Linked DNA regions of Lepisosteus oculatus. The protein of the gene in region 2 interacts with the protein of the main gene of each other region in a pairwise test. Links are inferred from orthologs where the notes say so. Each region holds a gene or a part of one and is shown on either strand. Other genes may lie near its edges.

Region 1 (15,979 bases), on a different chromosome or scaffold from region 2:
CGGACTGGTCATCACCGCCCCCGAATAGTTACATGTGAAACAGAACACTGTACCTTTCGAAGGGGATACGGCAGCCATCCTCTTGGCACACACCAGCCGTTTCAGAGTTTTCTTCTGAAGAGGGTTTTAGAGAAATACCTCTCGGTGTTGATGTGGTCTTTCCGATGCTGCAACATCCGCGTCTCGGTTTTGACGCGATTCCGGGCCCAACTGAGCCCGGCATGCCCGCCGCTGTCCACCTGGTTCACCCCAGCACGCTGGGGCCGAGCTGTAGGCAGCGGGAGCTGCAGGTGCACCAGCACGGCGGCGGCTCGGACATGGCGGCGGACGGCGGTGGCGTTTCGGACGGCTCTGCCTCTGGCTCGTGTTCCTGTGACTCTTTTCGTCTTTGTGCCCCACTGTCATATTTTCTATCGCACATTGTGAGGCTGGCTACCGTAAACGTGCACCAGATTATCACCCGATGAATCCACCGACATAAATTTGAACTGCGAACCCATTGAATCGAACCACTCATTGGTTCACGCATGATTCAACGTTTTTATGGACCAATGGGGGCCCACAGGTCCGTTTAAAAAATACTGTGGCCCTGATCAATCAGGGGCCCCTAGGCTACAGCCTATGCTAGCCTTTTTGTTAATCCACCCCTGAGTGGAAGTTATCCAGGGCTCCCTGGGGAAGGGGCGGGGCTCATGAGGGGCGAACTCACTCTCTGACACAGACAACTCTCCTTCTTAGGACTCAAGAATTCGTAAAAGGCAGTGAATCTGTCGGTCAGAATTGTATTATTGGGCTTGTCTTGTGTTACCTTACAGTGTAGTACCATGAGGTATGTCTTTCCATTCGTTTGAGGAACAGTCTGTGCTTTTATGTGGAGACACTGTGCTTTGTCTTAGAGAGTTGAAAAGTCACGACAGTGCAGAAAAGCAGTTCTTACACCCCTTCAAGGATCCAGACATACAGTAACCTCCTGATCTGCGACAAGGAAGCAACACTTCTTCCAGCCCTGGTGCCGTTTTTAATTGGTGAAGCAGGAGCACTGCTGTACACCAGAGCAACAGAGGAGGCCTGCTGGGGCTCAGATGTCACCCTGGGGTTATGTGTGACTTCCTGGATGAATTTCTGGGTTGCTCCTGGCAGGACAACTGGTCCTGGGGTGGAGTCACCGTGATCCATTTGTCAGCTTTGGATGGGTGGAGGCCCAGAAGTTGTTCTGTCGTTGTGGCACAACATGCTAACCTGTGTGTTGAAGAGCAAGCTCACAAAATGACTCTTTTATATTGCACAGGAACTGAACCATATAGTGATCAGCCCTTGTAAATGTAGCCCTTGCTTTCTTGTAACCCGATTAGTTAACTGTTTGATTCAAATTACTGCCTTAATTGTGCTAATTAAGCGTTGACTTATTATTTCACATAGGCTATGAGAAAGAGTTCTTCCTTTCTTCTAGTTCATACACCATTGTGTTTCAGAAAAACATTGAATTGGTAATATAAACCCTTGTGGTTATTTCAGAAAAGACTGGTTTCGATTTAACAAGGGTAGGATGTTAAGAAATTTTAATTCCCATAATTATATTAGGGTTGACAAACATTTTCTTTTACTCTTGGCTGTGTGCACAATTGCCAAGATCTCTACATCTTGGGGCGCAATTCTCTTTTCCTTGAACGCATTACTGCTCTATTTTTATCTTTCTTAGGCTTTTTATGATTTCACATGGACATAATCAGAAAATATCCGCATTATTGTAGTTTAAAAACTTCGGAGGTTTGAAAAAAAACAATTCTTGCAAACACAAGTAAAAAAAAGAATGACCAACAATGACCACAAACGTGTGTTTCATCCACAAATCTACAGGTCTTGCGAAAAGTATAATAGTATACAATAACAGAAAAGATAAGCATGGCTATTGTAGGAAAATACTGACGTGACCTGATTCCTTTTCGGTTACACAGCCTTTCCTTTATTTCATGTGACTAAGCTATAATCACTTCCCAGGAGATGGAATGTTTGTGCAGTTATCAATCTCTCCCTTCTGCTCCTATTTTCGTTCTCTTTTTCATCCTCTTTTGCTCCCTGTGCCTGCCTTTTTCTTTCCTCTGTCTCTTCTCTTCTGTCTCTCTTTGCCCTTAGCCTCCTGTGCCTTTTCCTCAGCCACCGTCCTGTCTCTCTGTGCCTCTCATCTCTGTCTCTCTCATGACAGGCCAGCACAATGCCATTTACCTCCTGCTCTGTAAACTGATAACATCGTGGAAAAAAAAACGAGCTGTCCCTGGCTGACTGGTCCCTGTCAGAAGATATCAGTGAGAGGAAAAAAATTATCTTTAGACGAAATGCAAATAATTCTTCCAGTATGAACCTGGCAGAGGACACTACATCTGCAGCACTGGCTCTGCAGAGTCACGGTCCTGTACTTTTTATAGATCACATCAATGAGGATGTTACTGTCAATTTCCCAAATAGTTTGTCGAATTACTGTAGGTCATTATGCTTCAGCTGGGACAAAAGGAGATCAGGACCATGCAGGACCATGCAAGTACAGACACCTTTTGCTTAGTTGATTTAATGAAGTGAGTAAAAATAAAAATCAAGGAGATGCATGAGAAAGAATGTACAGTAGTGCGTCTTGCTAATTGCTTTATTCACCTTAATTATTCATTAAGTAAACAAAAGTATTTGGTAAAGACACTAGTTTCTCATAAGACAGTGGCAAAACAATGTACCGAAACCAGTCACGTGCTAGGGGTCAAGACCCAGAGAAGAGCAATATAATGGAAGAAAATGAAAAATAAGTACAGTCAATGATACATCACACAACGTAAAGCTTCGTGACGCTGTGACCTTGCATTTCTCACGACAGATGTGCAGGTACCATGAGAGATGTACCACACACCAAGCTAGCTGTCTGAAGCCAGAAAGGCAAACTCCTCCATTGCAGATGACCCGTGGGACTGAATTTTAATCAGGTCAGAGATTACCCATTCCAAAATCTATCGACTGTCGACTCCGAACATCACGGACCTCTTCAAACTTCAAAACGAAACTTCATCTACACAGAGAGAAAACACACTCCCCACTTGCAGAGAGAGAAGACAAGTTTCCTCGGTTTCGTTAACAAGCATTGTGAAATTAACTTTTGACTTTGCGGTACTGTTTCCATGACAACTTAGAATTGTGTTAGTATTACATTGCCGTTTTGTTGCTGTAATATTATTTTATTTTAATATTTAAAAACAAATGCAGCAGAATACATGAACGACCTCAGAGTTCAGACTAGAGTGCTGACAACCGCACTGAAAACTGCTCGCTTTGTGTTTCATTAAAATGCTAATCTACTCATCAAGTGGTTTAGTCATTTGAAAAATTTCTTGGGTTTTTGAGTGTTTAAGTACAAATGCTCACAACAGATGGCTGGGGGGGTCAGTGCTTCACTCTACGAGTGTGTGTTAAATGGGACAGTTATTAAAGAGTTTTTCCCAAGAGCAACATTATGCTTTTTCTGTTTTGGGCACTGCAAAATAAATCACAACAATAATCCTGAACTCTGAAGAGGAGAAAGGGATCCTTGTGTTATTTCTTTTCATCGTGTCTGCATGGTCTCAATCCAGCTCTTTCAGAGATTTGGGTACAGATTGCTCTGGAGCTGAGACCACTCTGGCAGCCTGTCTTAATCTGCATGAGCAGCTGATATCATCATCGGCGGCACAGATCACAAAGAGTCTGAACTGGGGAGGCAGACAGCAGACATCCCTAAATCGCAGGAACAGGAGATAACCGGAAGGTGGTCTCAGTAATGGCAGTCTGTGTGTCAACTGGCTGTTGGTTTTATATGGACTAGCATGATGAGCTGAGGTCATGCAACTAAAAAGGAGCCTGTGGTCTCAACTGATTCTGAAATACCAACACAGGAGGAGCTGGCAGAGGTCTCTGCTGGTTTGCATGTGGGGAAACATATGGTCAATGTGTGACAGAATAAAGGCGTTCTTTTCCAGAAGCGCGCTGTGATCCTGAGAGTGTGCGCTGTGGCCAGGCCCTTGTAAGTGTTTGGTCTAATTTTGACACCATGTTGAAAAACTATTACTGGGTGTAATCCCAGTGGGTGTCAAAAGGTTGCTTTCACAGTCTGAGCCATGCAGTGGATGTGATGCTGAGCCAAACGTATCTGAATGGACTGTAGTTCGGGGCAGCAAGAACAGGGCTGTATCCAGTTTATAGACCACGGCCGCAGCCACCAGAGAGCATGGCTGGGAGATCTTCACTACATCCACAGCACTCCATAGGAGTTCAAGTGACACAACAGTCTGCTCCACTCTGTAAGACGCTACCAGTTCCTTAATTATGTCATTCATAATTAGCAGGATCACTATGACATTCAAGGCAATGGTTTTATTAAGGTACCACGATGAAGTGGATTAACTCTGAATGTCCCCCATCATAACCAAACAGTGCTGACTATCTGCCCTGATGCTTTCTTAACAAATGTGGACTTCTTTTTTACTCAGCCAAAGAATCAATAGGCTAAAACCTTTTTTTCACGAATACTGGCACCACTGTTTCCTTGGCAGCAGTAAACTGTAAGTGAAGGACTATTTTTAGGCCTGGAAATGGTAAAAGGGTGTGAGACGCTGGGCTGGAGTCTGGCTCACGGCAAACGTCCCTCGAGCTCCTGAACTTGAGGAGCAGATGAAAGAGAAAGCTAGAAACCAGGGGGTTCAGTGTGTCACTGTGCTGCCCCGTATCCCGGAGCAGGAGGGAGGTTGAAACGGCATGCCAGCGAGCCAGAGGCGCTCCAGCAGGAAGGATATGACCGAGGGAGTTTATTTATGTACAGCCTGGAAAGGTGGATTACAGTGACAGTGACTGTGGTGACCGCTGCTGTACGTGCTCTGTGTCAGAGGCCTCGTCCCCGGGGGGGGGGGGGGGGGGGCAGCCTGACTCAGGCTCCGTCACAGAGACCCTGCGGACCCCCGCCGCCCCCAGCCAGCAGACCCCTGTGCTACAGGGCGTCCTCAGCGAGTGCAGAGGCGCATTCTGACCAACCGACTTCTGCCGCTCTTTACTCTGCAAACTCAGGAGCACAACCCCCCCCCTCCAGCTACTGCAGTTCATCAGTCTGGGAGCATGAGGGGAGGGCATTCAGCTTCAGCCATGTTCCACACTCCCACCACCCTTTGGGTAAAGAAGTGCCCCCTGGTGTCGTACATAAAGCCCCTATTCTTTCTGAAACCGCAGGGCGGGGATCTGGACTGTGCACCATTCAGCCCCACCTGGACACAGGGACTCCAGCCAGCCGGGAGCACAGACTTGTTTTGTTTCTCCTGAGCATGCCGTCTCCTCTCAGTTTCTAAATGAGCACCTTGTGGTTTTCTCAGAAGGGCGCCCGGCTCCCGGGGCATGACGCAGAGCACTTCTCCCCAGGAAAGGGGAAGGGCCCTCTGGAGCTTCCCCTCGCTCTCCGGTAGCGGCTGTCTGATCGCTCCTCGCTGGAAGGTATGAGCTCACTGCTCCGGCCAGCCCCCTGCTGTCCCTGTCCCATTCCTGGAAGGACACCGCTGAGCCGCCTCGGAACACATTCCCCGCTGCTCCGTGCCTGGGGAGTTCCTGGCGATTCTGGCCTGTTTCTTCTCTCAGATCTGAACACAGATGGGGAGACGGAAAGTGGAACGCACTGATGCTGCTTTCCTTGGATCGAAGGCACTCTTTTAAAAATACTTAATGTCCCGGCTAGTTCGTATGAACAGAAACACCCCTCCCCTCTTCGCCTTTCTGGTCGCCGTCTGCCATCCTGGATGTAACATGTACAAGTACAAAGGAGCAAAATCTTTTTTTAAAAAACCCCAACAATTAACGATACTTTATCATTACTTTGGCAGAATGGCCGCTGTGTGTCTCCCAGGTGGGAGTGCAATGCCGTACTTTCACGCTGGTCTACCTGTTGGGAACAGATCATTGGCTGCTGTTCTCTGCTCTGATTTCCGTACCCCACGCACACTCCCGCACACGTGAAGATTGAGGAAGTGTAAGCAGACCACTCCCTTTCCCCCTTCGAGCCAATCGTCTTTCGGCACGTCATCACCCCCCCGCCCTCCCAGGATGCTCAGCTCTGATTGGAGGAGAGGTGTGTTGCTCACCATTTGCGATGGTGACCCCCGGTCACAGTTGGCTGGTGACCTGAGCTCTGCTCAGGCCTGTCAGCTGAGCCATCCGGTCCCTCGAAAGATCGTCTCTCAACTAAAGCGGCTCTGTCCTCCTCTGTTTGCCTGTTGTAACATGTGGCACAGGCTAACAGATCACAGTGGAAAACCAGGAGGAAAATGAAATAATGCTCTAACGCTGTCACTGATGGTCTGTCTCCGATGCCAACCGGGAGAAAGCACGAACAGCACAGACAACCGACTCTAGTGAAAATGACTGCGGAGTGTGTTTGGGTGCTAATCGGTTTAGCACAGCAGTCTCCCCTCTAAGGGCAGAGGAAGGAACCGATTTCAGGTTTCACTGGATGTTCATCCATCTCGCAAGGCAGCCAGAGTTCATTTAATTTCTGCTGTCCTGGAGGCTGACTACGAATTTGCAGTGCTCCTTCGCTGCCTCTTGATTTTATTGCAGGCCGCAGAATGAATCTGATTTTTCTAACAAATGCAGACTCTGGTGATTTAATAACAATAATGACCACATGAGACTACTGCACATGAAACCTTGCCTGTTTCTCTCTCTCTCTCGTGATGAAAAGGGCACATTCTCAGAGAGAATGTAAATTAGACCCCGGAGCGGGCGAGGGGACGGGTTTGACCATTTACAAAACAGCCCGAGGGGCATGAATGATCCTTTCTTTGGAGCCACAGCTCTTTCTCTCTCTCCATTCATGCCAGCTGTCGGCCTGTGAACGGGCTAATTCTGCTCCTGTTAACCAGAGGCCACCGCCGAGCTGCAGTGACTAATTCACCGGCCTTGGCCAGGAGCGAAAGACTTCAGGCCCCGACAATACAGGCGTTTGAATCTGCTGCTTTATATTCCAGCCAGGACAGAGGACAGCACAGCCCCTGAATGGCGGCCCTTCATCCTCCCAGCGGTCCCCGTCGCTGAAAGGGCCCTGTTGGCTTTCGCTCCGAGGAAGTCAATAACCGACTCGCCGGCGTGAAACGTCCCGTGGTTGAAGACATTAGCAGGGTGAAAGAAGACCCAACGGCCGGGGGGGGGCAGCGTCTGAATCAGCTGAACGTCACCGTGGGCTGCAGAGCCACACACGTCGAGCTCCTCAGTCGCGTGCCGCATTCACGTCGTGCCCAGGGGGCGTCTGCGGCCTCGCTCGTACACTCCACTGGGCTGGCCCGTCGTGACAGTGCCATCACGGGTATTTCCGCTGCGGATCCCCGGAGGGTGAGCAGCTGTGTCACTGGAGCCGTGCGGCTGGGCTGGGCCGGGCCGGGCCTGCTCAGGACAGGGAACCACTCACCGCTGTCAGTGGTGTCAGTGGTGCTGGGCAGCCAGCAGGTGGCGCTGTTCCTCTGGAGCACGGTTTCCGCGCTGATGTCCCCAGGGTGGTGACTTGGGGACACGGTTTGGAAAAGATCTGAAACTTTAGGTCCTGACTGCTTGGTCGGATTGTCATTAAGATGAGATAGCTGGGGCCACAGACAGATTTCTGCTATTGCAGAAATGTGGAAAGGTGAGAGAAAACCACCCAACTGTGAAGTATTCGATGGGGATATTGGCCCTTTAGACTCATAAATTACTCAAGATATTTAAACACATAAGGCCACATAAATACAATCATGAGTGTGAATAAATTGTGCAAACAAACTGCAGCCTTTCTTGATATAAAGCGACAGATCTTGGGAAACGCCAGAGAATTTGCAGAAATGCAAATCTTCACAATGTGCGCCGGTAAAAAAAAAGCAGATAATTTTTATCATAGTCATAATGATATGCAATAACTCCATGCCTCTACTTTCAGTTTGTGATATAAATATATTTGCTTTTCATTTGACGTACATGTTACGATCATCAGACAGGTTAATCAGATGTGCCTTTCGGCACTACTAACCGGTTTGATTACGACTTAGGAATTGATGTAAAAAACGTATTCAAACCACTTGTATACATTTCACTTGAGAGGCACAGCACTGAAAATACCCTTCGCCCGTGCACTGGTCACGTTTAATACAGTCAATACTCATACCTATTGCTGTAAATGGAACGGGCTGTATTTGAATTTTAATTTCTGATGCACACCTCCGAATAACAACGTACACCCCCATACTCGTGTCATTACAAGGCGGGCGTCTGTCAATATCTCTCTCCCTGTGTGACACTGCATCCTCCAGTCTCACCAAACCCCTAGAGTCCAATAATCAAGTGCGATGCCGTGATGCAAATATTCTGTCAGTTTTTAACGCAGTAGGATCACCACCACACACACCAGCCCCCGGTGTCTCGCAGACGAGCGGCCCCGCGCGTCACGTGCCGGGGGCCAGGCCGCGGCGGGGGCGGGGCCGGGCGGTGACGTAGCCGCTAAGCGGAGCGGCGCCGGTGGAGGCGGCTCACACATAGTGGACCTGCACGGCGCTCCGCCTGCGTCTCGCCGCTGCACAATTATTTAAAACACTACTTGAACGATCTAGGATCTATACCTCCGATTAAGGCGATCCCGCAGCTTCCGGACGTTTGGTGTTAGTTGAATACGCTCCAGTTTCAATACATACAAATTATTTTTGTGTGTCTGTGTGTGTGCAGAATCCCTCATCCGCCCGGCGTTAAGAGGATTGATTCTGTACTTGCTTTTTTTCGCAATTGAATCCGGCTGTTTTCCTCTGAATTATTTTCTGTCCTGGGAGGTTTAAGAAGGTTTTTGTCTCCTCTGTGTGGACTTTGTACTCCTTCCCGATAGACATGGAAGAAGACATTTCGGGTAAGCGATGTGCGGTGTTTTGTTGTCTGTCACTGTGCGGCAGCTTGTTGGCGTGTGGTGTGTTATGATATTTCTCAAGTGTTATAGTACAGTGCAGCTCTGTGTATGATTTTAACCCTTCGTTTGTTTTCTGAACTAACAGTAGCTGTCATTCTGAAGGAGGACTGTCGTAGGTTGTTGAAATTAAGTTTTTCCTCGCAAATACCGCTTGATCGCTAACTCACGATTATTTTCCAACCGTATTTTGTTATAGAAGTGGGCGCACCGGGACAACGTTTGTTTTACAGACTATTAATAGGCTCTCTCCTCTGTTATCTACAGTATATAAGTACGTATATCCGATATCATTGGATACTCTGTTGTCCTTTTAAAATGCTCTACAGCTTGCACAGAAAGTAACCGTCAGATAAGAGAACAGAACTGCTTTTTTCCCGTAAATGACGTTTGACATCTGAATTCAATTACATTCCTGGGAGGAACATGTCTCGCGCCCCTCCTTCTCCCCGCACATCTGGATTTCCAGCCAGTGGCGGGTATCTGCATCTGCAGACCCCCCCCGGTGGGGGGCGGTCGGGGGCAGCTCTTGGATTCACAGTGGGGCCGCTCCAGTGTGGTGTCGCCGCTCCGGTTTTGAGGTTTGGATCCTGAGAGAAGCCGGAGTGAAAGAAGAAAGCCCTCCAGCTCCGTTCTTTCAGTGATGAAAAGGTGTTCTGTTCCCTAACACCCTGGACACAGATTCAGCTGTCTCCGTAAAGGGTCTGCACTTAGCCCAGACCTCCGCAATTATTCTTATACGTTTATGCATAATCATAATAATAATAATAAATTCCTTATACCTGTATAGTGCTGTTCTACACAGCACTCAAAGCGTGTTACAGGTAATGGGGACTCCCCCCCACCTATGTGCAGCCTCACCTGTGTGATGCATATCCGACCCGTTTTTAGGACGTGAACGACGCATTCCTCTGAATCCTACACGGATTCTCTCTGAACCGTCAACGCAAACCTCCCGCTGCGCATGAAATCGATGCGAACGCGTCAGTCCTGTTGCGCCAGGCTCCGTGAGCGTCGACGGGAATGCAGCTGTAGCACGCGTTTGAATTGAAGGCTGCGATCTACAGTATAATTGAACGGGCTGGCGTGGCACAGGAATGGATGTGCTGTAGTTGCAATGTATCTGTTGCATGGCGCGGAGGAATATGACATCAGTGCTCCTCGCCTCTTTGCGGGGGGGGAGGTGGAGCGAGCGGTGTGCACAATTCCGTAGCTATAGCCCAGATCCCAAATCCCCCTCAAGCCCTTTCTTTCTGAGGCACCGTCAGGCAGCGCTCGTGTCTCTCAGCTCAGTTCAAAGCGAACGCGCAGGCAGCTGCAGGACTCGCTCCGGTCTGCGCCTCGCCAGCACGATTTCACGGGCAGGATCCCGCTGATCGGCAGTTCGTTTCTGTGGCTGATAATCCGGCCGCTGTTGCCGGCGATGGGGTGATAATACCGTTCCCCCCGCTAGCTCACGTGTACAGCAGTTATTCACGGGCACGTGCCGTGTTACTCTCGCAACTCGGGTTTTGTCATTTTAACATTTTGTTCCCCCCCCAAGTCCTGAGTTTATCGCAGTAAGAATTTCATATCAAGAGCCCGAGCTTTAGTAAGAGTTAACTTGCGACACTTTTTCATGGATTCGTTCAAAACGACAAGGGGAGAAAAAGCGTGACAAAAAAACCCATTTCATTCCTCCGCCTCGGGTCAATCCACTTCCTCAACAGTCCTGACCTTTGGGCTGGAGCTCAGGAAGGGGCCCGTGTGGAGGTCCGGCCTGTCCGAGCTCACCGGGACCGCACCAGCAACTCCTAGCTTACAGATATGAGCCTTAGGAAGAGCGCTTAAGGGAACGTGTTTCATCAACACCTTTGATGAAAAAGTGATCAAAGGAGTGCAGAGCTGAGGGGCCATTTTGGGCATCTTGTCCTGAAAGGATTGAAGAAGCTGCCGACTGTAATCAGGAGGTCAGCAGGGCCCAGGACAGAGGCCAGTGGGCTCTCAGCGAGTGGTTGGCAGTGAAGCCCAGTGCTGAGACAGGGCCTCTGCTCGTCACGCTGACTTCCCGAAGGGAGGCTGGGGCACAGGAGGAGGAGTCTTCGACTGCCCTGGAAGGGAGAGGTTTTCCAGGAGCCCAGGCTGCCTCTGCACGGCCCGCTTGACGCTCAGGGCGATTCATGGAAGCGCCTCCTTGAAGATCTCCGCTGGGACTGGTCCCCTCTCCTGCAGCAGGAGCGGTTGGTTCTCCCCTGCTGGTGGGTGAAGGCACAGAGCGCTCTTTGTGCTCTGGGAAGAGGCTCCCCAGGGGCGGGAGAGCCCTCGGTCTTGTGATGGGCACTGCCGCGAGAAACCACGCGTAGGACCGTGGCAGCACCAGCCCAGGTCCCTGAGGCACCTCCCCCTCGAGCGCGAGGGCGACGCTGTGGTGCCAGTCTGTAAGGAGCACAGGAGGGCTGAAGCCCTCAGTGCCGCCTGATCCAGGCAGAGCCCCAGCTTGGAGGTCAGAGACTCTCGTGAGTCCGCCCTGCTCGCAGACCTGAGCTGTCTGCTGGTTCACTCCTCCTCCTCCTCCTCCTGACCTACTGCCAGGAAGATGGATCCGGGGTGCAGCAGGACAGTGGGGATCGAGGGGCAGGGAAGAAGCGAGCTCTCCGCTCCCGCGGGGCCGCTGACAGGTTCTGTGCCGGGCTAGGCTTGTTTTCTGCTTGCTGAGAGGGGCACCCCTGGCATGGGAATCGAGCCCCTGCTGGCGCTGGCGAAGTGGACCGATGAGACGTCGATAGGCCGCGAAGGAAGCGAAACTCCGTGACTAAGTAACCAGCACAGTTTTTTTTTTATGAACCAAAACTATGCTAAGAGCCGGTTTTTAAAACGAGGAATCTGACAGGAGCTCTCTCACGCCGTCGTCTTCCATCAGGAACAAGCGCAAATCAGTGTTCCGGGTCTCAAGCTCCCAATTCATGTTTCTTGCGGGAGCTCTTTTCAAGCGAGGTGATAAATTGCTGGCAGAGCCGAGCCATTTGGTAGCGTGCCGTAAATTACAGGGCGCGCTCTAACCCACACAGCGAGATCACAGGGCTTGTGAGGCTCTCTTGTCTCGTTCCACTGAATTTGTGAGTGCCTGGGACGATTTAGGCCATAACCTTGTGAAAATACTGTTTTTTTTTTAAGACAACGTGAGAGAGCGCAGAACGGGACGTTTTAGCCTAGTAAACGTGTAAAAATAAATAAATAAAAACAAGAGGCATGAAGGGAAAGAGTCCAATCAGAGCCTGGTCTAGCCCTCTGAAAAGCCCTGTTTTCTCTGGAAGGCCTCTGCCTTTTTCCTGCACGTGCCTGGGTCTCCAGCTAAGGCCCTGGGAGGTGATGGCTAAAAAGTGAAGCAACAGGACAACGGATTCAAAAGGATGGAAGAGTCGGTGACATTTGGATGGTATGGAGCCCAGTTTTAATGCCAGCCAGTTACTCACTCTTCCCACACAGCCGCTGAGAGCCCTGCGCTCCATCAGGGAGAGTGGGCAGTAGTTGTACTGGGTCATTGGGGTGGCTGGCTCATGACAAAGCGCAGGTCTGCTGAAGTGGCGGACTGCAGGGCGGTGTGTCCCTCTGCCAGTCAGCCCGGTGGGGGGGGGCTGTGCACGCCTGCCGCGGGTTCAGCTGTGACAGCTCGGGTCCCAGGGGCCGCAGAGAGCCGCGCGTCGGCCGCCGTGTCGCTTCTGCGTACTCCCTACGGCTGCGGGCAGTTTCAGAACAACAGCTTCCACTCGTGAACCTGACGACAGGAGAAATTCAGAACTCTTCTGGGCTGGGTTAAAAAAAACAAAGTGTTCTGCAGCGATGTGCTTGTGTGTTTGCAGTCCCCGACGGCGCTTCTGCATGTCGGATCGTGGCCGTATCGCGCGGTCCTGTCGGGATTGATTTACATGGAATTTTTTGTCGACGGCTGAACATGTGTTTAGCGAGACCTTGACGCCTTGGGAGCTGTGGGAGTTTTCCCTGGGGAATTCTTCTTTATCTTTCAGGGAAATTTAGCAGATAAGGGCCACGTGGACGTTCAGCTTCACCAAAATAGTATAGAGAATTATTATATGTAGACTGTAGGTGGGTGTGATACTTTACAAGAACCGTTTTCGATCAATTCTCTTATTTTTGGCTCAGGAATCAGATTATGAGTGCTGTTAAGCTCAGTTTTTATTTCATGACTGAAAGTTCTCCTTCCAGAGAAAATGGACATTTTCTCTTATTATTATTCAACTGCCTAACTGATGTCTGTAAATTGTCTCAGTGGGCTTTTTTATCCTGCTTTGCTCCCAGTACTAAATGGCTTTCTTAAAACGATCAGTTCTGCACTTATTATAATTTTCCCCTACATTGTGAAATGTTTAATTTTCTGAAAGAATAAAGAAAATAACATTCAAGTAGTAATTATCTCTTGCATTTCCCAGATGCAGTGGTGAAAGTAAGATTCTAGAAAGTGCCCCATCCATTTTCTTTTTGTCTTGTTCAGCATTTTTCCAGCTACAGTATGTTGGTAAAAACAGTCAGCACCATGATCACAGAATGACATCATGACTGTCTGTACTGTTCTATGAAACTTACTCCCATTGTACGGCTGTACTCCATTCTCTTCCTGTTTCTGTTTTTAGTTTTGCATTGGCAGAAGTCAGAAATCCCAATACTTCTAAATACATTAATTCTCTGCCTCGGCAGAACTGTTTATACAAGAGCCTGCAGGTTGTAAATCCTGAAGTGGATCAAAGCTCTGTGCAAAGTGAGTTTTAATTTGTTTCCTGTTTTTTTATTGCGAAAGGATCTGGAAGTGTGGTTCCTCATTAGCATTCCTTTGATCACTTCCTCGGCCTGCTGGTTTGCATTTTTGTGTTTCTTCATGTCACAGTCCGGGCTGGCTTAGACGTGAATCGCTCAAGACAGCAGCTGCACCTAAGTGGGACGCTTGGATGCAAGTCTCCTCCGTCGTGATTCAGCCACCTGGACTTTACACACAGACAAATAGCGGGGAGCTGCAGAGTTTGTCCGACCTGTGTTGTTGACGGTGGTTTGTGTACAGTTTCGGTCAGCATGTGAGATACTGCTGCTCTGGAATGGGTCCAGAGGAGGGCAATCAGGTGCATTCTGGGGCTTGAAAGAACGTCCTACGAGGACTGGCTGGAGGAACTGGACCAATGAGGTTACCTGGGAACCTGATAAAAGTATTACACATCTGACAAAATCAACCCAGTGCACTTCTTTAGAATCAACGGGGAAACACGAGCCAGGGGACGCATGCAGAAACTACAGGGAAGTGCATTTACAACCGAAAACAGGAGGCTGTGTTTTACCCAAAGGGTGGTGGGAGTGTGGGACAAGCAGCCCAGCCATGTTGTTGGAGCTGGTACCCCTGTGCTGGGGTATCTCTCCCGTGTCTCCACAGACACCTGAAGTGTAATGAAACCGTATAGCTGGCCGAGTGATACTGCCGTGTCCAGCTGGACTGGGGAGCTGATCTTCTTCCCGGCAGCCGGGGGGGCTGAGTACAGGCAGGGCCGTCCCCAGGGCCGGCGTCCCGCACGTGGAACTCGTTTGTGGGGGCGGCGCTGTCCCCTGGGGGGACCGAGGAGCCGAGCCCGGCGGGTGTTTGCTCGACTGGCAGATCCCAGGCCCGGGCGCAACGGCCCAGGACGGGCAAGCTCGTTTGCGTACGCGTGTGGGAGCTCCGAGCGGCGAGCGTGGAGAAAACCAGGCCCGGACAAACCCATTTAACTGGCCTTAAACATGCAGCGAAAGAACGGCGCTGGAGGAACAGACCTAAACGAAAGCAGATTTCCGTGAACAATACTAGCCTGTTGGGGGGAGTTTGGAGACATTAGACAAATCTGAGGTTGAAGTTTCTTTCTCCCAAATGGAGAGGAAGAATTCCTGCTCTCCCCTGGGGCTGTCTAGGCCTGCGGTGTTACTGGTTCTGAGCCCACCAAGCCACCACCCCCTGTTTTTCCTGCCCACGGTTCAAGGATTCCTGCTCCGAGATTTATTCTTTGCAGGTTTTTGGAGAGGAAAGCGGAGGAGAGGAAAAGGCAGGGCTGGAACACTTATGTAACGGGATCACAGATTGTTAAACCTGCTGAAGCTGCAGGAAATAGGTGTATCCGCATTACCGGGACATTCAGTACCACTGAAGTTTCCAAATCATTTTTTTTAAATCGTAAAGTCTCCATTACCTTCGACCCGGGAAAAATAGATTATTCCGAAATTAACATGCTTGGAGCTACTGTGATTCCTTTAAGTAATTTTGTTGAGCTGCCTTTAATATTTGAAGCCACTTTGGTGTTCCTCTGGCCATGTGGATAATAGGAGTGTGTTGTTTACTTTGTGACATATGCGCCATAAAAGTGACCCTGAAATCAACAGTTACCCCTTTTTCAAGCTCTCGAGACTCTTTTTAAACCCTTTCAACTGATTCATGTTTGTTTTTACTTTAGTTTCTCCAGTCTGCAAGAAAGTTTGCACTCTGTTTTTTTTTTTTACCCAAGTTAGGCATTATTTTCAGCTGATTAACTGGAATCTGAGCCTGATAGGACGGCCGGGCGGAATTAGGAAAGTAGCTGTGTTATCTGACTGGGAGCCAAACCTCAGAAGAGCGACGTGTTAGTAAGGTGACTTAAGAACTGGCCTGGCAGCCTGTCCTGCTGCTCCTGTGGAAAGGGGCCGCTGACACCATCTGCGCCCCGATCCCTTGTGGCTTCACACATAACTGGAGGACCCCTCAGCCCTGTGCATTTGGAGAGGCTGCAGACATTTTTACTTTGGGTCACAGTCCTCGCTGTTGCAGATTTCTGAACGCCCTGTTCCCCCCCACTCTGTGCGCATATTTATTAAAATTGATCATTGATCATTAAGTCCTTCCCCTGGGATAATAAACTACATTGTTGTTGTTGTTGCTATGTTGCTATATATATCAAAGGGATGCCTTCCCGCAAGTATTTGATCTTCAGGGTTCGACTGCGGGTTGTGTGGATTTTTCCTCTTGTGCTCTGATCG
Region 2 (15,560 bases):
GCTCTCCACGCTTATCCAAGAAATGCAGACATCATCCCCCATTTTAACATGTTTGCAAGGCGACGCCAGGGAGTACAGTTTTATTTGGTATGGACTTGATTATTTGAGGGGCAACAACCTGGCCACGAGAACAAGGTAGTCAATTTTTCACAGTTTTTTTTTTTGGGGGGGGGGGATCTTTCATTTAATGTAACTGGGAGCTGCCAGTTGTATAACTTTTTGGAGCAGCTCCCAGCAATGACTCCTGTAGCTCACATGGAAAAAGGAGATCTTCTGACACAATGAGTGCTCCACAGCACCTGTCAGGAGGGTTGGTGTGTGTCATTGACATCACTGCAAGCCTGTGGCCTTCTGGGAAATTGCACAACTTACTGTTCTAGTCCGACCCTTCCCAGCACTCCGCCAAATGTGGCAGCTTGCAGACTTCTGGTCAAAGCTGGCTTATGACGTGACATGCAGTATCAGGATCCTTGAGCTCAACCTGTACTCAGAACAAGGGCCTTTACTGCAAGGGCGGGTGAGGTAGAGAACAACTGATGGTCCCTATCTATATAGGACGTCACATTAAGAAGCTGTGTCTTGCTTTCTCTCAGAGGCTTTTGTCTAAACTCCATGTCAATTCACCCTCACCCCAACACCTTCTTCCCACACCCAACTATAAATCACACATTCCAAGCCAAACAGAAAGCCGCCATCTTGTGAAGTATACCGCAATTTCTGGGGGCTTCAGTTCTGATTAAGGTCCCAAATTATGCCGCAGACACAATAGTAACTTTGGTTCTTCCCAGTTCTAAAAAAATGATTGACACACTGCCCGACCCTCTCACCCATGGGCAGATGTATCTATGATCACTACGTGGTGCCTAGTCTCTTGTCTGTGCGACTTTATTCTCTCACTCAAGATCAGTGCCCTCCCAGTCACCTGTCATTTGGGACAGAGAACTAGACACAGCGGAGAGTGGAAAGGAGTTTTCAACAAGAAGGTAAACCGTCATAGACTTCCAGGAGTGTAAAACGTTTCTTTGTGATCTAATAATACATTCGAATTTTAGTATCCTTGTATGCTGCTGAGCCAAATGAAGAATTAAATAAAAGGTTAAATTCTCAAGCAGCATGGAGGTGCAGTGGATTGAACTGCTGCCTAACTGTTTTGGAGCCCTGGGTTCAATTCTGGACCTGGGGTGCTGTCTGTGTGGAGTTTGCATGTTCTCCCCAGGTTCACAATGGTTTACAACAGGGTGTATCCTACTTTGCACCTGCTGCTTATAAGTATAGGCTCTGGCTCCCCCTGCCACCCTGCACAGGGTAAAGCAGGATAAGAAGAACAGACAAGTACAGAACTAAAAACGAATTTTTACCAAATCAGCAGAGCCTTAACAGGAGAATTTTCATATTTATTCTGAATCTGGGAGAAACACGTTATCAGATAAGCTTGCTAGTTCCCACGTCATTAGGGCATTAGTGCAGTCCTCATGTGACACTCACAGATGAAGACTAATTCTTTCATTACTCAAAGAACCTTTCATTTATTTTTGTTCTGCTTGTACTACCTGGAAACAATTTGCAAGCAATTTCCCTTGACACTTCTCAGCAAATTCTTTTCCACTATTTTGAAATGCAAAAAAAAAGTAAAGCCTTCTTGCTCTTGATGTTTTCTCATTTATTATTGAAACTGAAGAAATTAATATACGTAATTTAAAATATATACACATATATCTATGTGGAGCTTGTATGTTCTCCCCATGTTCACATGTTTCCTCCAGGTGTGCCAGTTTCCTTCCACAGACCAAAGAACTTCCTGGTTGGTTAACTGACTTAAACAGGAAAAAACGACTCTGATGTGAGTGTGTGTGTTTGTGTCTGTGTGTGTCCTGTGATGGACTGGCCAGGGTGTATCTTGCTATGCACCAACTGCCTGCCAGGATAGGCTCCAACTCTTCAGCAACCCTGAACTGGATGAAGTGGTTAGAAAATCAATGGAAAGATACATATTTATATATTTTATATTTTATTGTATTTTATTCTGGAAACTTGCAATAAAAAGCTGCTATTATCATAAATAAGAAGAATAAACTAACAACTTAAAAGGACTAGATATTATCTTAGCTCCAAGCATATTTTGTGGGCCACTACTCAGCATATTCCTGACTAACATTGGTATGTAATGTCCTTGACAGTGAACTTCTGTAAAAATCTAAAGAGCTCTTCAGAAACCTGAGAAAAATAGATTTCTCCTCCAATCACAGACTAGGCGATGAGAGCAACTGACAACCTGATGTCAGCTATTGTACTAGGTGCCAAGACCTGTTTACTTTTATCACAGGAAAGGTGAAAACAGTTTTAAAAGAAATAAAAGTGTGAAGGATTTAAATGTGTGAAGTGGCAGGTTGTGGCAAAAAGGAAGCAGAGTGTAAATCTTTCACCCTGAAGCCTGCAACAGCTGGGTAAACAGAATGCTGCACAGAGTTAAAATACTTGCATGGCTAACTAGTCCTCTGTCCTATTTAATGCTCTGTAGCTCCTTTATGGCCTTGAAATTCAACACAGCCAGAAGAGCCAAAGGTTACAATCGGTCAATGCTCTTTTCAGAATTAGCCATTATGGAATTCAGGTAAACTGAAAGGTTGATGACTTGCTAATATCGGTTTCTGCAAAGAAAATGACTAAAAGAGGAACCTGCTAGGAATTATTTTCACGCAACCATTGCATGAAATTACATTGCTGAAAAATAGATAAAATAATTACTACCTGTGACTTCTTAAGATTCCGATTTTGATTCCGGTAAATCTGCCTGTGCACATTCTGTGTGATTGCTAGACCACATCTAGAAAACTAAATTAGTAAAATGAAGAAGAAATCCAATTTCTCGTAGATCATAGGAAGATCCAGTAATGACCTTTTCTAACCAAACCCCACAACCCCATTTTTAGAAAATGTATAGCAAACAGACTACCTACAATTCCTGAAACTGGGTCCCCGCTGGTTAATGTTACTACTCTTGAGCTGTGAATTCACTCGGCCATGGTGTACAGAGACACCGTGCGAAGTCAGAGATGGTGCATGCTGTAACAGAATGGCAAAATAATTTTCTGATCGATAAAAGTGGCAAAGGGTTTCGTTTACCAGTGAGCAGAGCTTTTCCACGGCCTCCAGAAGGAGCTCCTGGTGGCCAATCTTTTTCACCCCCAGCCCTTCCAGATCCTTGTAGGACAGCTGCAGTAAGTCCTGCCCTGTCAGGTGCCACTCTTCAAAGGGGTACTGCTGCAGGCTGGGCTCCAAACCTGAAAGCACAGCAGCCAAGCATTGGCAACATAATTCTGCAAAGACTGCAGCTATTCCTACATGCCCATCCTCGTTAGGCACACTAAGAGATTCCACTGCAGCACTGAGCTGAATTTGGAACAATCCCATCTTGAGAATCAGCCCACCTTCAGTAGGTATTTGATTCTATGCATGAGGCCAGGTGGTGCAGTAGGCAAGGTATGCACTGTGTGATAAGCAGGGTCTGTTTAAGCCCTGGGCAATTCAGCACAGCCAGTGGAACCAAAGGCTACAGTCAGTCGATGCCCTTTTCAGAATTACCAGTTATGGGATTCAGGTAAAATAAAAGCCTGCTGACTCACTGAGACCTAATCTGAGCATTACTTTTCGTTTCTGTAAAGTGCGCACCTCTGAAGCACTGGGCATGACCTCAGGCGCGCTACTGCAAATGTAAATTTCACCCCTTGGTCTCTGTAAGCCACTTGAGATAAAATGCAAAATGGCTGATTATTAATAACGTTCCCGAGTAAAAAGCATTTTCTATTACTGGAGCAGAATCTACAATTAAGCATCTGAAAACAAAAAGTAATACAGAGAATAGTGGGAACTAGTGGGAACTCACTGCCAACTTAGGAAAATGCTGTACCACAGTACACTTAACAGCACAAACAACACCGCCCACATTCTGCGCATGGAAACTCGTCCCTTGTGTGAGAGGAATTCAACCCTAAACAAAGGCACCACCACTCCCGGTTTTTGTTATTCTATTTTTTTATTGTTTCAACAGGAGCATTGCAATCAAAGGGTTTTAAACAATGCAGAAAAAATAGGATGTGTGATAACTGGAATCCATTTACTCAACAAGCCCCTCAGAGCAGACTCATTTCAGTATCAGAAAGCTGTGCCTTGGGCTGACTAGCACCATGCATTTCAGCAGTTTACTTCCTCATCCTTTTTTATCTTTGCCTAAAGCTCAAGAACGTCGAAAAACAGATAAAGAACATTTTTGGGCCTACACCGGAGCACAGCTTCCTTTCAGCCACCTTTCTATTGTTTGTACACAAACAGTATGACTCTGAGCCAGGGCAGGCAAGAGAAGAAATATTTAACTGGGCCTATTATGAATTTATATTGTTATAACAGGGGAAAGTGTATTATAACGTACACTGTGTTAAATTATAATACACAACAAATACTAGGTTACGCAAGACCAAGTTATATTTCTTAAGATTGCAAAAATCGAAATATTAGATGGTAAACTAATATTAAAATAGTTCTGATAAGATACAGAATATTCAACTACAAAGAGGTCAAAGAGCTGAAAACAAAGAGCCCGAATGAAGACATATCCTACAGTGGTCAGTCAGGTCAAGATTAACAGGGTTCAGTCTTTAGAACAGAAATATAAAGATTACATGGGGGTATGATAAAGCAAAATCCAAGTTTGATGGGTGTGTTTACAAAAAAGTGGGGACACTCACATTGCAAGGCATTTGATGAATCAACTGTTACCCTGGTAAAAAAAAGGTCTTTCACTAATGTGGCACTGGCACATACCAGGAGATATATCAGTTTCCCACCATAGTAAAATTACCACACTTTGGTGGACACATGAAAAACCTGCGTTTTTAGCATGATACAGCTAATAAAGTCCCATTAAACTTTCCAACAGGTAACAGGTAACTAGTAGCTAATTGATGGGAGGATCTCATCCAGCTGGCTCTTGAAAGAAGCCAAACTTCACCACAAACCATGTCTGTAAATTGCAAATGGTCTGCAGATCAGAGTTTGCATTAAAACTAGACTCAAGACAGATTTTTCACAGGGGAATGAGACCCCCCCCCACACACACACACAAATGAGGTCACATTATATAAAAAAGTAAATGCAATTGACAAGGCCCACGATGAATATTATACCAAGACAGAGATACAGAAGCTAAGTGTCCGTAATCACGTACTGTACCTCCACGTGTGCAAAGATGTTGAAGATCATTTACTACTTAAATAACAAACCAGACACAATATCACAGTAAGAGCTGTATCCCTAAAGTGCTGTTACACTACCTTCACATTACATTTTAGTGACAAAAAAGTCGTGGTATTAAAAGATAAAACAGAAAACTGAAATTGTTGGCAAGGAATTCTGAAATAAAACAAAAACACTTTACCAGTTGTTTTTTTTAATGAAACATGGCCCTATATGTGTTTTGTAAATTAAAAATGATCTACTGTATGTGCTTTCTTAAACAATTATGGAATCACTTCTCAAAGGTTTGAGATTGATTATAACTTAATTTTCAATGCAGTTTTAAAGAGAGTTATGTACAGAAAATGAAACAGGAACAGGAACTTACATTTCTTTACGGCTTTAGGATTTACGTTTGGTTACTAAGCAACAAGGACTTTACTTGAGCTAGCTGGATTGGCGAAGTTTCGACTTTGTGTCTAACGTAAGTCAAGAACGGGCTAAAGACAGATGCTTTTCAAAGTCATGTTTACAGCAAAGCAGAATTCAGGTGCCTTCAGGTGGGTATGTGGTTAAAGGTTACCAGGACGTTCCAGACACAAGCTGCAGTTCTAGTCCTGAAACAAAGTCACCTTTACTGAAGTTATTACTGAAGTTATTGGCCCCAGCCCTTCAGGTGACATAGGAACTGGGGTGCAATTCAAAGTGACTTTTTATCAGCTGATTGATTGACGCACTGATCACACAACAGGCTTTTTAAAAACAGACCAGTATATCCTGAACTAAAAAAAAACTTGTTCTTGGCAGATAACCCTTAGAGAAGTTAAGACCTATAATGTGGAAAACTTTCATGAAACCTTTAACGTCCTTTAAACATTAGCACGTCCAAGGCAGATCACCAGTTTCATTGGTTTCATTTTAAATTGTAGATTTCATCCTATGAATCAGAAGGCACTGGGTACCTTTACCCTTTTCGGAATAAATTACGGACTGTGTCGATGAAATTTGGGGTGCAAATTCAAAAATAGTTCCGAAAAATGAATTCCTTAGCAGTAACCACAATAAAAACGTGGGATTTATAAAAAGTCTCCTAAATTTCAATAACGCTGAATAAAAAGCTAGTCCTCATTGAAGAAAAATAATCTAGTGCATATGAGGAAAATACGACCTGTTAACTTAACCTCAGTTTGGGTTAAAATGTGCGGGTTGACACAAGGAATTAAACTAAATTCTGTATTCAAAAACCCAATTATGAACTTTGAACACATACCACATGCTATCCTGCTGGGCAAAAAAGTTCATGTTGACATTCGTGTTGCTCGTACTAGCGTTTCCCAAATATATTTGACAAACAATCAATAAAACGTCCGTATAAGTGTAAAGCAGCTGGGGTGCTTTTTAAATTTAAGAGGGGCGGTTGCTCGCACGAAATTGAAAAATTAGTACTCGCCAAGTGTCTGTGCGCTCCCTGCCTAGTGCGTCTATCCTGAGTTTACTGCACCGACGCCTGCGCATAACTAAAAGCACTTCCTCGTTCCAGTCCCAACGAGAACTGTCCCATACTGTATGTTTTTGCTGTTTTAGATCGGTTTTCCTGACAAGTTACATGTCACGATTTTGTAGAAAAATAAATCAGATCCCCACATCCAGCTCTAACTTACCTTTTAGCCAGTCCTTAACTCTGTCGTGACTCCAGGACGCAATAGGCTCCATATCTTGTGTCCGGGACACTTAAAACTCCCCACTGTATTCCTTACCAGACCCTCCCGAAAGTCCTCAGGGAAAATGCCTTTCCCACGGCACTCCCACCAGCAGGTAATCCACACAGGCTGACCAATTGTGCGGTATGTTACGCCCTGTCACGTCTCCTTACAGGCTGGAGCAATTCTCCAAACCCTTGAGTTATGCGTTGAGGGAGGGAATTGAAAAGTTACTTTTCCACCTTTCTTCTCTCTCTCTAGGCTGTTTTCTAGCCCCCGGCTAGAGAACGCGCGTAAGTTTGGGAACAAGGGTTGGGTTTTATTTACATGATCAAACCTCTGTCTTGAGCGAGCTGTTTTGATTTGCGTGGAAAATTCTATTCTGATTCACTGGGCTAATACTGTAGTTTCGCGACTGTGGGAAAAAACTCAACCTACTAACAAGGCTTTCGTCTCTTCAAGAAATCAAACCAGTTAATAAAAGTTTTCTTCAATAGCCTATTATTATTATTATTATTATTATTATTATTATTATTATTATTATTATTATTATTATTATTATTATTATTATTATAGCGTTAGCTTCGCCGTGTAGTATTGTCAAGCGCCTGGCATACTGTCATTCAACAAAATGTACGGGTAAACCAATGATTTATTTGATTTTCGGAAAGAGCACAGGGCTCGTAATTACCAACCCCAAAAGCTTCTCAAAAACCTTACAGTATACTGTTTTAATGATACTTATTTAACGCTCTTAAAGCAATTGGTATCCACATTTTCCCCACGAAAGCGCCAAAGAAGAGGCACACCTTTATTGTTACTTTGGTCTGAGGCTGCCGCAGCTCTTTGAGGGAACTGGGTTGAGCATAGCTCTGGTATCACCAAGGTTCAGGGTTCAATTCCTGTCTAATCCCACCGAGAAAGTGGGCTACACGACGTTTATATTATCGCCTGTGTGTGGTGAAGGGTGATCGTGAAGCTAATCTGCCTATGGGACAATATAAATCATCGCGCATGCTGTAATTCACCCTTGGTCCGGATAATGATTCATTCTATTTATTCTCAATCCCCAGAGATGACGGGTCGCTTTATATACAGCAGGGAAATATTGTCGACCAATAAGGAGCAACTCTCACCCGGGTGCACAGCACCCATTATGTTCCGATACAATAGGTGGGGAAGTCTTCTTGACCTACTAAATTAGAAGGACACCTTTCAGGTCTGCCAGATTGTGTAAACTCAGAGTGGAATTCAGGCAGGACCACAAAGTTGACACACGCAGCTCAGTGTCAACAGCCAGCATACCCGGGACATGGATTTGACAACGCCGGTCCAGAGGGGAGTATCACAACCTGTGCTCGTGGATTGCCCTAGTCTACAGGGCAGCTAAGGAATGGGATTCTTACAAGGTTATCATGAAGGAAACCCTGCTGAGATGGAGCTCCACCTAGTGTTGGCTTTGTTTTCCTGTCGGTCTGTTTTCAGAACAATGTCATGAGGCTTAAAACACTCAAATCTCTTTGGAAAAGACCATGTGCTATGCAAATAAATAATAATATTGAAAATTATAGGTCTCACTGCCATCTGAGTAGTTTATTAACCATAAGCTTATCATTGTGTACTCCAGTATCATTAACAAGGGGTCAGCCGTTAGAATTAACACGAACCCTTTCCAAGCTGAAGAGAGAGATACTCTAGACATTTCATTTTTTTCGTGCTGTCTTTCTTTACAAAACCGCCTCAAATGCTTGCTCAGATGTTTTCCACTGAATCTGTGTTTTAATTACCGAATTAATTCATGACTCTGTGATTGATAAATGCATATATCATCAATTTCCCTACGGGATTAATAAAGTATTATCTATCTATATATTCATTACAATATCTCTCACAACAGAAATATGTTTACCCCCCTCCCTCACCCACCAGACTCTGCTTTTCCTCCTTCACACTCCTCTCTGACTCCTAACCCTCCAGAATCTCCTTCCCTATACTGTTTCCTCTTCTCAAGGCTGTTTTCCCTCTGTTTCTAAAAAGCCCGGCATTGCACGCCTCCTAAAAAAATACCCTTGATCCCTCATCCCATCCAAACTTTCATCCCGTCTTCCCCCTCCCCTTTCTCTCTAAAATCGTCTGGCGGGCCGTGGACTGCCAGCTCTGCACTGCCCTCGTGCAGCCCTCACTCACAGACTTCAGTCTGGCTTTCATTCCGCAGGTTCAGCTAGGTTTATTTTCCTCTCTGTTATCAATTCTCTTCACTCCACTCAAGCTGTCTCCCTGCCCTCTATCTCAGCGCTTCTTGATGTCTCTGCAGCTGTCTCTCCATGGATTTTCATACACTGATGCTGCTCAGATTTCCTTCTCTTTTTCCTCTGATACTCATGTCTCCTGATTTATCTCTGCCTGTCTCACAGTCTCCTCTATGGAACTCTCGTGCCAGTTCTTCTTGAATTCACAAAAGCCTCCCCTTCCTTACCAGCTCTTCTACTCTGCTCCTAGTCCAGGCCCTGGTATTCTCCTGCCTGGACTAACGTAACTCTCTCTTCACTCTTGAGCCCATCTGCCCACTCTAACACATCCAGAATCCTGCAGATCTCCTTGTTTTTTCCTAATTTTTCACACACTGCTGTGTTACAGTAGTTACTCCACTGTCTTCCTATGGTTGCATGCATCCAATTCAGTACCCCCTGTTCACTGTCACACCCAGTCTCCTCCTGCCTATCTTCAGGGTCCTATCTCTCCCTATACCCCCTCTCCACTCCCCCTCTTCCGCCAGACTTCCGTTGGCCCCTCTGCATTCTCCCACTGCCACAGCCCTTCATTCTCCACCCTTGTTCCTCAGTAATCAGAAGTGCTCTGTCCTTTCTGCTACTGCTCAAGACCCACCTGCTCAGACAGCACCTGTGATCTCTCAGCTCTCAATTTAGTTGTTTGGTCACTCTTAACACTGCATTGCACCAATGTGCTTAACTTTTAAACTGGCAATGTGATTTGCTTCATGGTCTGAATCACTGTGAACTGAGATGACATACCATTACGCTGTTTTTTTTTTTCATCCAGCACAGCTCCTGCACTGCTCTTCACGTTTCTGTCAGACTTATTATTAATAAGTATCCAATTCAGGGGTGTCGAGAAGTCGGAACCCTTCTCGGATAGCATCAGTGTCACGATTGTAGTCCCTCCTCCTTAAGGGTGCTCCGGCTCTTTTACTTCTGTCTTGATTTTGTGCACCTGCCCCCAGTTCCAGCCTCCTATCCAGCCCACCTTAAAAGCCAGATGCTCACTCTGTTCCGGGCTCTGCATTGGTTCCCGTACCAAGCGAGTCCGGGATCTGGAGCACCTGGTCCCGTTCCCCCCTTGTCCCCCCCCCACATCCACCGGATCCCGTTCCGGTTTTTAATTCTGTTTGTCTTCGTCTCGGATGGACTGCCCGGCTTTGGACATTTGCCTCGCCTTGGATTTCCCTATGGGCTCTGCTTTGGATTGTTTGCCCCGGACTCACCCCCCAGAACACCTGCTCACCATGGACACGCCCCCTAGTTGAATTCCTGAACCCTGCATGCTTTTTCCCCCCTGTGTTTTCCTCACTCCTCCCGGATTGTGTTGTCTGCATAGGGTCCTGAAAGAACGTTCCGTTACAATCAGGACTGGATGGGACGCTAGTCTATTGCAGGACACACACAGACAAGATCACAGTCACACCTCAAGCTCATTAACCTACCCGTATGTCTTTGGACTGCTGGGAGGGAACCAGAGCACCCAGAGCAAATCGACGTGAACAAGAGAGTGTAAAACGCCACATAGATAGCACCCCAGGTCCTGGAACTGAACACAGAGCCCCGCCAGTGTGAGGCAGCAGCGCTAACCACTGTTCCACACGCTGCTCCATCAGCCTTATTATCATGCCATTCATTTTTCTTGTAAACTTGTTTACATATTTGTTGTATATGTCCTTGAATAACTACCATTATTGTAACTACCATAGCTATAAATATTAATACAAGGGCTGTTATGTGTTACTCGTTTTCTCTCATTGCTTCTTTTTTTTCTGGTAAAATGACATATCTATCAAGAGAGCTTTGTCTGCCTCCCCCGGTACCAACATTTACCTCCACTGTGGTCTCAGCTGTCTGACCCTGCCAGGTGTTGCCTGGCAAGTTGGGAATCGCTCTGAAATTCCACACATTCCTCCTCCCGTCGAGACAAGCTCGGCCTCAGCACAAAGCCTTTCCAAACGGTTTCGGACTCCCAGCCATCAGAGGCTCTGAGAATGTTTCGTTCCTGCCAGTGCAAAACTGTGAAGTGCAGATCTTTTGCCCATCCGGCTACAGCTGCTCTTTCATTTGGATTGCCAGATTACAGCTCATCTAAAGCAAAAGCAAGAACGAGAACCTGCGTCGTGTTTCTCTTTTTTGTGCAATTGTCTGAAGACATTTGATCGCTCTGATGCAGACGAGCCCCAGTGCAGTTTGTCTCAAAGGGTACCTGCTTCTAAAGAGCAGGAACACCCATAATGATCAATGGAGCAAGCAATTTGTTCATAGAACTCTGGGCCTCATTGGTTGAATGGTCATATATTTTAGGCTTCAAATAATTACGTAAGGTAACCTCTCATTAATCACAAATTGTTTAAGGCTTTTAGAAAGAGCTGATTAATGGCTACTTGTAAATCCTGCTTATTAGGGACTAGCTGAACATATACAGTAGCTTTGCTAATATTATTATTTTTTTCAACAATAATTTTCTCCCAGTTATCACACAAATGACTTGAAATCTTCCACAGTATTTTATCCCTAACTAACCAGTTTTCTGTATTGCCCTGTTTCCTACATTTATCCTGAAAGGGTCTCGGTGCAGTTGGACCCCTACCATGCCTGTGGGTGTATATTTTCAGTTTTGACATGCAAAGAGGCAGCCTCACTTCTTCCAGTCAACACACAAAAAAATTTGAATTTATTCCAGATAATACTATTTGAAAAAGTAACTGCAGAAACCTGACAGAGAGTCTTATTAGCCCAGTGGCATTCAATAGTGTTTCCATAACAAATAGCATTCGATATAACTCACATCATTTCTAGTCTGAAGTGAGGAGCCCGCAGTACACATTTATGCTAGCTCGTGGCATAGCCCTGGGAATCCTGATCTGGCTGAGTCATAACCCTCATGCGAATGAAGATCCTGAGATTCCTCGAGGCTTTCGGTAATGATGGAATAATCTCTCAACATCACTGAAATTCTGTACTGGATTTCAATGTATTTTTGAAACACAAAAATATTAGTTTGGTGTAGCATTGGCGGCACAGTGTTAAGCATTGTTGCCTTATAGTGCCAGGGCCCTGGGTTCAATTCCTGGGGTGCTGTCTGTGTGGAGTTTATATGTTCTCCCTGTGTTTGTGTGGCTTTCCTCTGGGTGCTCCGGTTTCCTCCCACAGTCCAAAGACATACTGGTAGGGTAACTGACTTCTGGGAAAATTGGCCCTGGCGTGAGTGTGTGTATCTGTATCTGTGTGTTGCCTGCGATGGACTGGCATCCTGTCCAAGGTGTGTCCCACCGTGTGCCTATTGCTTGCCAGGATAAGCTCCGGCTCCACTGAGATCCTGAATTGGAAGAATCAGTTAGAAAATGAAGGGACAGAAGATCAGTTAGGTCTCACTGCGATTCATTATTTCATTTTTGTCATTCTTTTTTCTTCTGTGCAATTTCTGCTCAGACCGGTTTGCACTCAGCTCTCAAGACTCGAGAAATATACTTAATAAAATAACGTCACAGATGGGAGGATACCGTTGTGCCAATCTGTCCTATTTGTTGCTAACAGTTAAGTTATTCTGAGGGTCTCGTCCAGTTTTCATCAAAGAAGCCTGGTTATTGGCTTCAAACCCATTGCAGAATACCTTGTTCCTGACTCCCACAACCTGTGTCAGAAAGGTGCATCCTGTCCTCATGTGAATTGCACTTGCTTGTGCTCTGATTTGTGTGTTACTGGTGGTCTAGTCCACTGGGGTTTTGGAATTCTTGAATCAGGTCCCTTCGCAGTCATCTCTGTTCAAAATGTAAAAATTGTGAATTGTGAATTGTGGGAATCTACAACACGCTTCCCAGGCAGGTGGCTAAGACCAAAGCTCTTGGCATTTTAAAGAACAAGCTGGATGAAATCTTAGTTTAAATTTACTAAACTATCAAACTCGGAAGTTGGATATTTGATATTGCTTGCATTCTTTCTTATGTTGTTGCTTAAATTATATTATGTTAAAATATTATTTTAACTTTTAATTTTAAGTGTATAACATTCCTGTGTATAAGACCAGGGGACCAGGGATGTACTGATCACAAATCTAAATGTGTTATTACTAATGTATTGTACACATGTAACATAATATCCCTTTAAATTTCTCTTTGTATTTTTTAACTGCATATAATTGCATATAGTTCTCCCGAGTTGTCTATATTAAATACCAGAAGGTGTTCCACCAGGTTTGATTTTATACAAGTTATTTTTTCATTTCCTCTGCTACTTCTACAATCTTTGCTCATCTTCCCATTTTCTTATTTCAGCTGTGAACTTGACTAGTTTACTGACTATATGCCAATCAAGTTAACATAGGAACTTTGCTGATTTATGAAAACTTTGGACTCTGTTTTAGTAGTCATTTCTCCATCCAAACACAAGCAATGTGTTTGATCTGAGCATTAATCCTTTTATTGGGAACCTCATAAAAGGGCTTTTGAAAATCTAAATATAGAATAAAACGTGTTCATCTTTCATCCATTGCTGGTGTTACAGTACTTCTCCAAACAACTCTAAAGTGCTTTAGTTAGCAAGACAAACCTCTTGCAATCCATGTCAACTATCCCTTATAATCCTACTACCATACAGTCAGTCCTCTACTGTAATCTGATTATATTCTCCATTGGCTTGGGTTCCTTACTCTTCTTGTGAATGGGTGCTATATTTCAATTTTCAATATTTCTCTTCTCTTGAGAGATTTTTGTTAGCAGTGTATAATAAAAACCACTTTCTTTCTTTAAGTATGATTAATAGAATAGCAGAAGGCCCTGCTATTTATTAATGTCTGCCTAGTGTGCCTACATTGTCTCTTTTATTATAGAGCTTTGTCTTTTCTCAGCCTGAAGGGTGTTGTTGAAGATTATTCCCTGGCATTCTTCTAGCATCGAGAATCGACACTATTACATTAGCGAAGATGTGATGTCACAGATGCAGGAGCTCCGGAATTTCTGCAGAACCAGAGCACATTGCTTCAGTGAGCAATTTCCACTGGTGAGGATCACCATTGGAAATGTCTGGGTGTTAGCAAGATCTCTCTTGCTCTACATCATACTGCTGGCTAGGGTCCTGTTATTACAGCACGTTACTGACACCAGTGATGTGACTCTTACCCTCGAGTAAGCACTCTAAATTATTTTCTGTTGTAGCAGTTTTATACAACTACTACTAATAATAATTGTTAATATATTTGTTATATTAATTTATTATTAAGGATTAATTTTGGTATTATATTTTTTATTTAATTAATGATATTTAAGCAATACACAATTATTACTATTAAATAATAATAATAGACTCTTAGTAGTAGTAGCTGCTGTAGTTTATCATTAGTAGTAACAGTAGTAGAGGAGGGTAATTTGGTTTTATTCTTATTCACTCCTAAGGACAATGTACTGTATAATGAGGGAACCCAAAAGTGTCGACGGGAAGCACTTTCCTGGGCGACAAATCGTGATCGGCAGCTCACGCTCAGAAGAAAAGGGGGAGACGTGCTTCACCAATTGAATCACATTGGAAGCGAAAGCAGGAATGTTATTGAAGAGCCCCCTTTATGAATGTATGAATTTCAAATGGTCTAATCTTTGAGGATTGATTGCCAACAGAGGGCCCCAAAGGATTCGTTTGTTCGTGAGAGAAGCTAGTGAGCGATAGTTCGCCTATTTTTTTTTTAATATCGAGGCAGGAAGAAAAGCAGTGTGTTATCATTAAAAAGAGATCCGAACCGGTGTGGGACTGAGTTGTCCCCCGTTTCTCTGAGCTGTTCATTCATTTCTTTAAAAGACGGTGCTCTCTTCCACTGCTGGCTTCTGATGTCCAAGCCGGGGATACTGAAATCTTCCCCAAAACAGCTACATTTCTGAATGAATGCAATATATTGATTAATATTTCACTAAATTAAAAAATCCACACTTCACAAATTGATGGTAACAGTTAAGTTGCATGCTATTGATTTTTAACACGCGATGAAGGCAACATTAAGTAAATATTTGTAACTAACATTTTTGGAAATTAGAATAATACATAGATTTTATACGGAGATATTTGAAATATTCTTTGGGAGGGATTCCGAAGACTGGCCACTATCTTAAAAAAAACAAAGTTATTTGAACGTTTTTATTTGTTTAATTTAAAAATAAAATAAGAAAGACTACCATCTCCGGACTGGCGACATTGCAAATACCCTCTAGTATTCCCCTGTTATCTCCCCCCATCAATTCAGTCGTAAGGAATAGCTGTCCTCGCTTGCACCACGTCTCCGCTAGAGGGCGACAAACGGCCCGGACGAGCCGTGAAAGGGGTAGGGTGAAAGCTGGCTGGAGGCTGCCAGTTGCGGAGTCAGAGATAC

Evidence for each region.
Region 1: the proteins of cnksr1 (region 2) and cyth3a interact in binary tests that used the Homo sapiens proteins (3 or more experiments, as listed by UniProt). The two-hybrid records come from large-scale screens. The link is inferred for Lepisosteus oculatus from reciprocal best matches to the Homo sapiens genes CNKSR1 and CYTH3.

Annotation. Positions count from the first base shown.
Region 1 is NC_090714.1:16,754,811-16,770,789, forward strand, and holds the start of cyth3a (cytohesin-3), read left to right. Parts: upstream 1-8,523; 5' UTR 8,524-8,889; coding exon 8,890-8,908; intron 8,909-9,823; exon of another isoform or gene 9,824-10,050; intron 10,051-15,979. UniProt on the Homo sapiens protein: Promotes guanine-nucleotide exchange on ARF1 and ARF6. Promotes the activation of ARF factors through replacement of GDP with GTP. Plays a role in the epithelial polarization.
Region 2 is NC_090706.1:11,005,528-11,021,087, reverse strand, and holds the start of cnksr1 (connector enhancer of kinase suppressor of ras 1), read right to left. Parts: upstream 7,188-15,560; 5' UTR 6,943-7,187; coding exon 6,891-6,942; intron 3,282-6,890; coding exon 3,124-3,281; intron 1-3,123. UniProt on the Homo sapiens protein: May function as an adapter protein or regulator of Ras signaling pathways.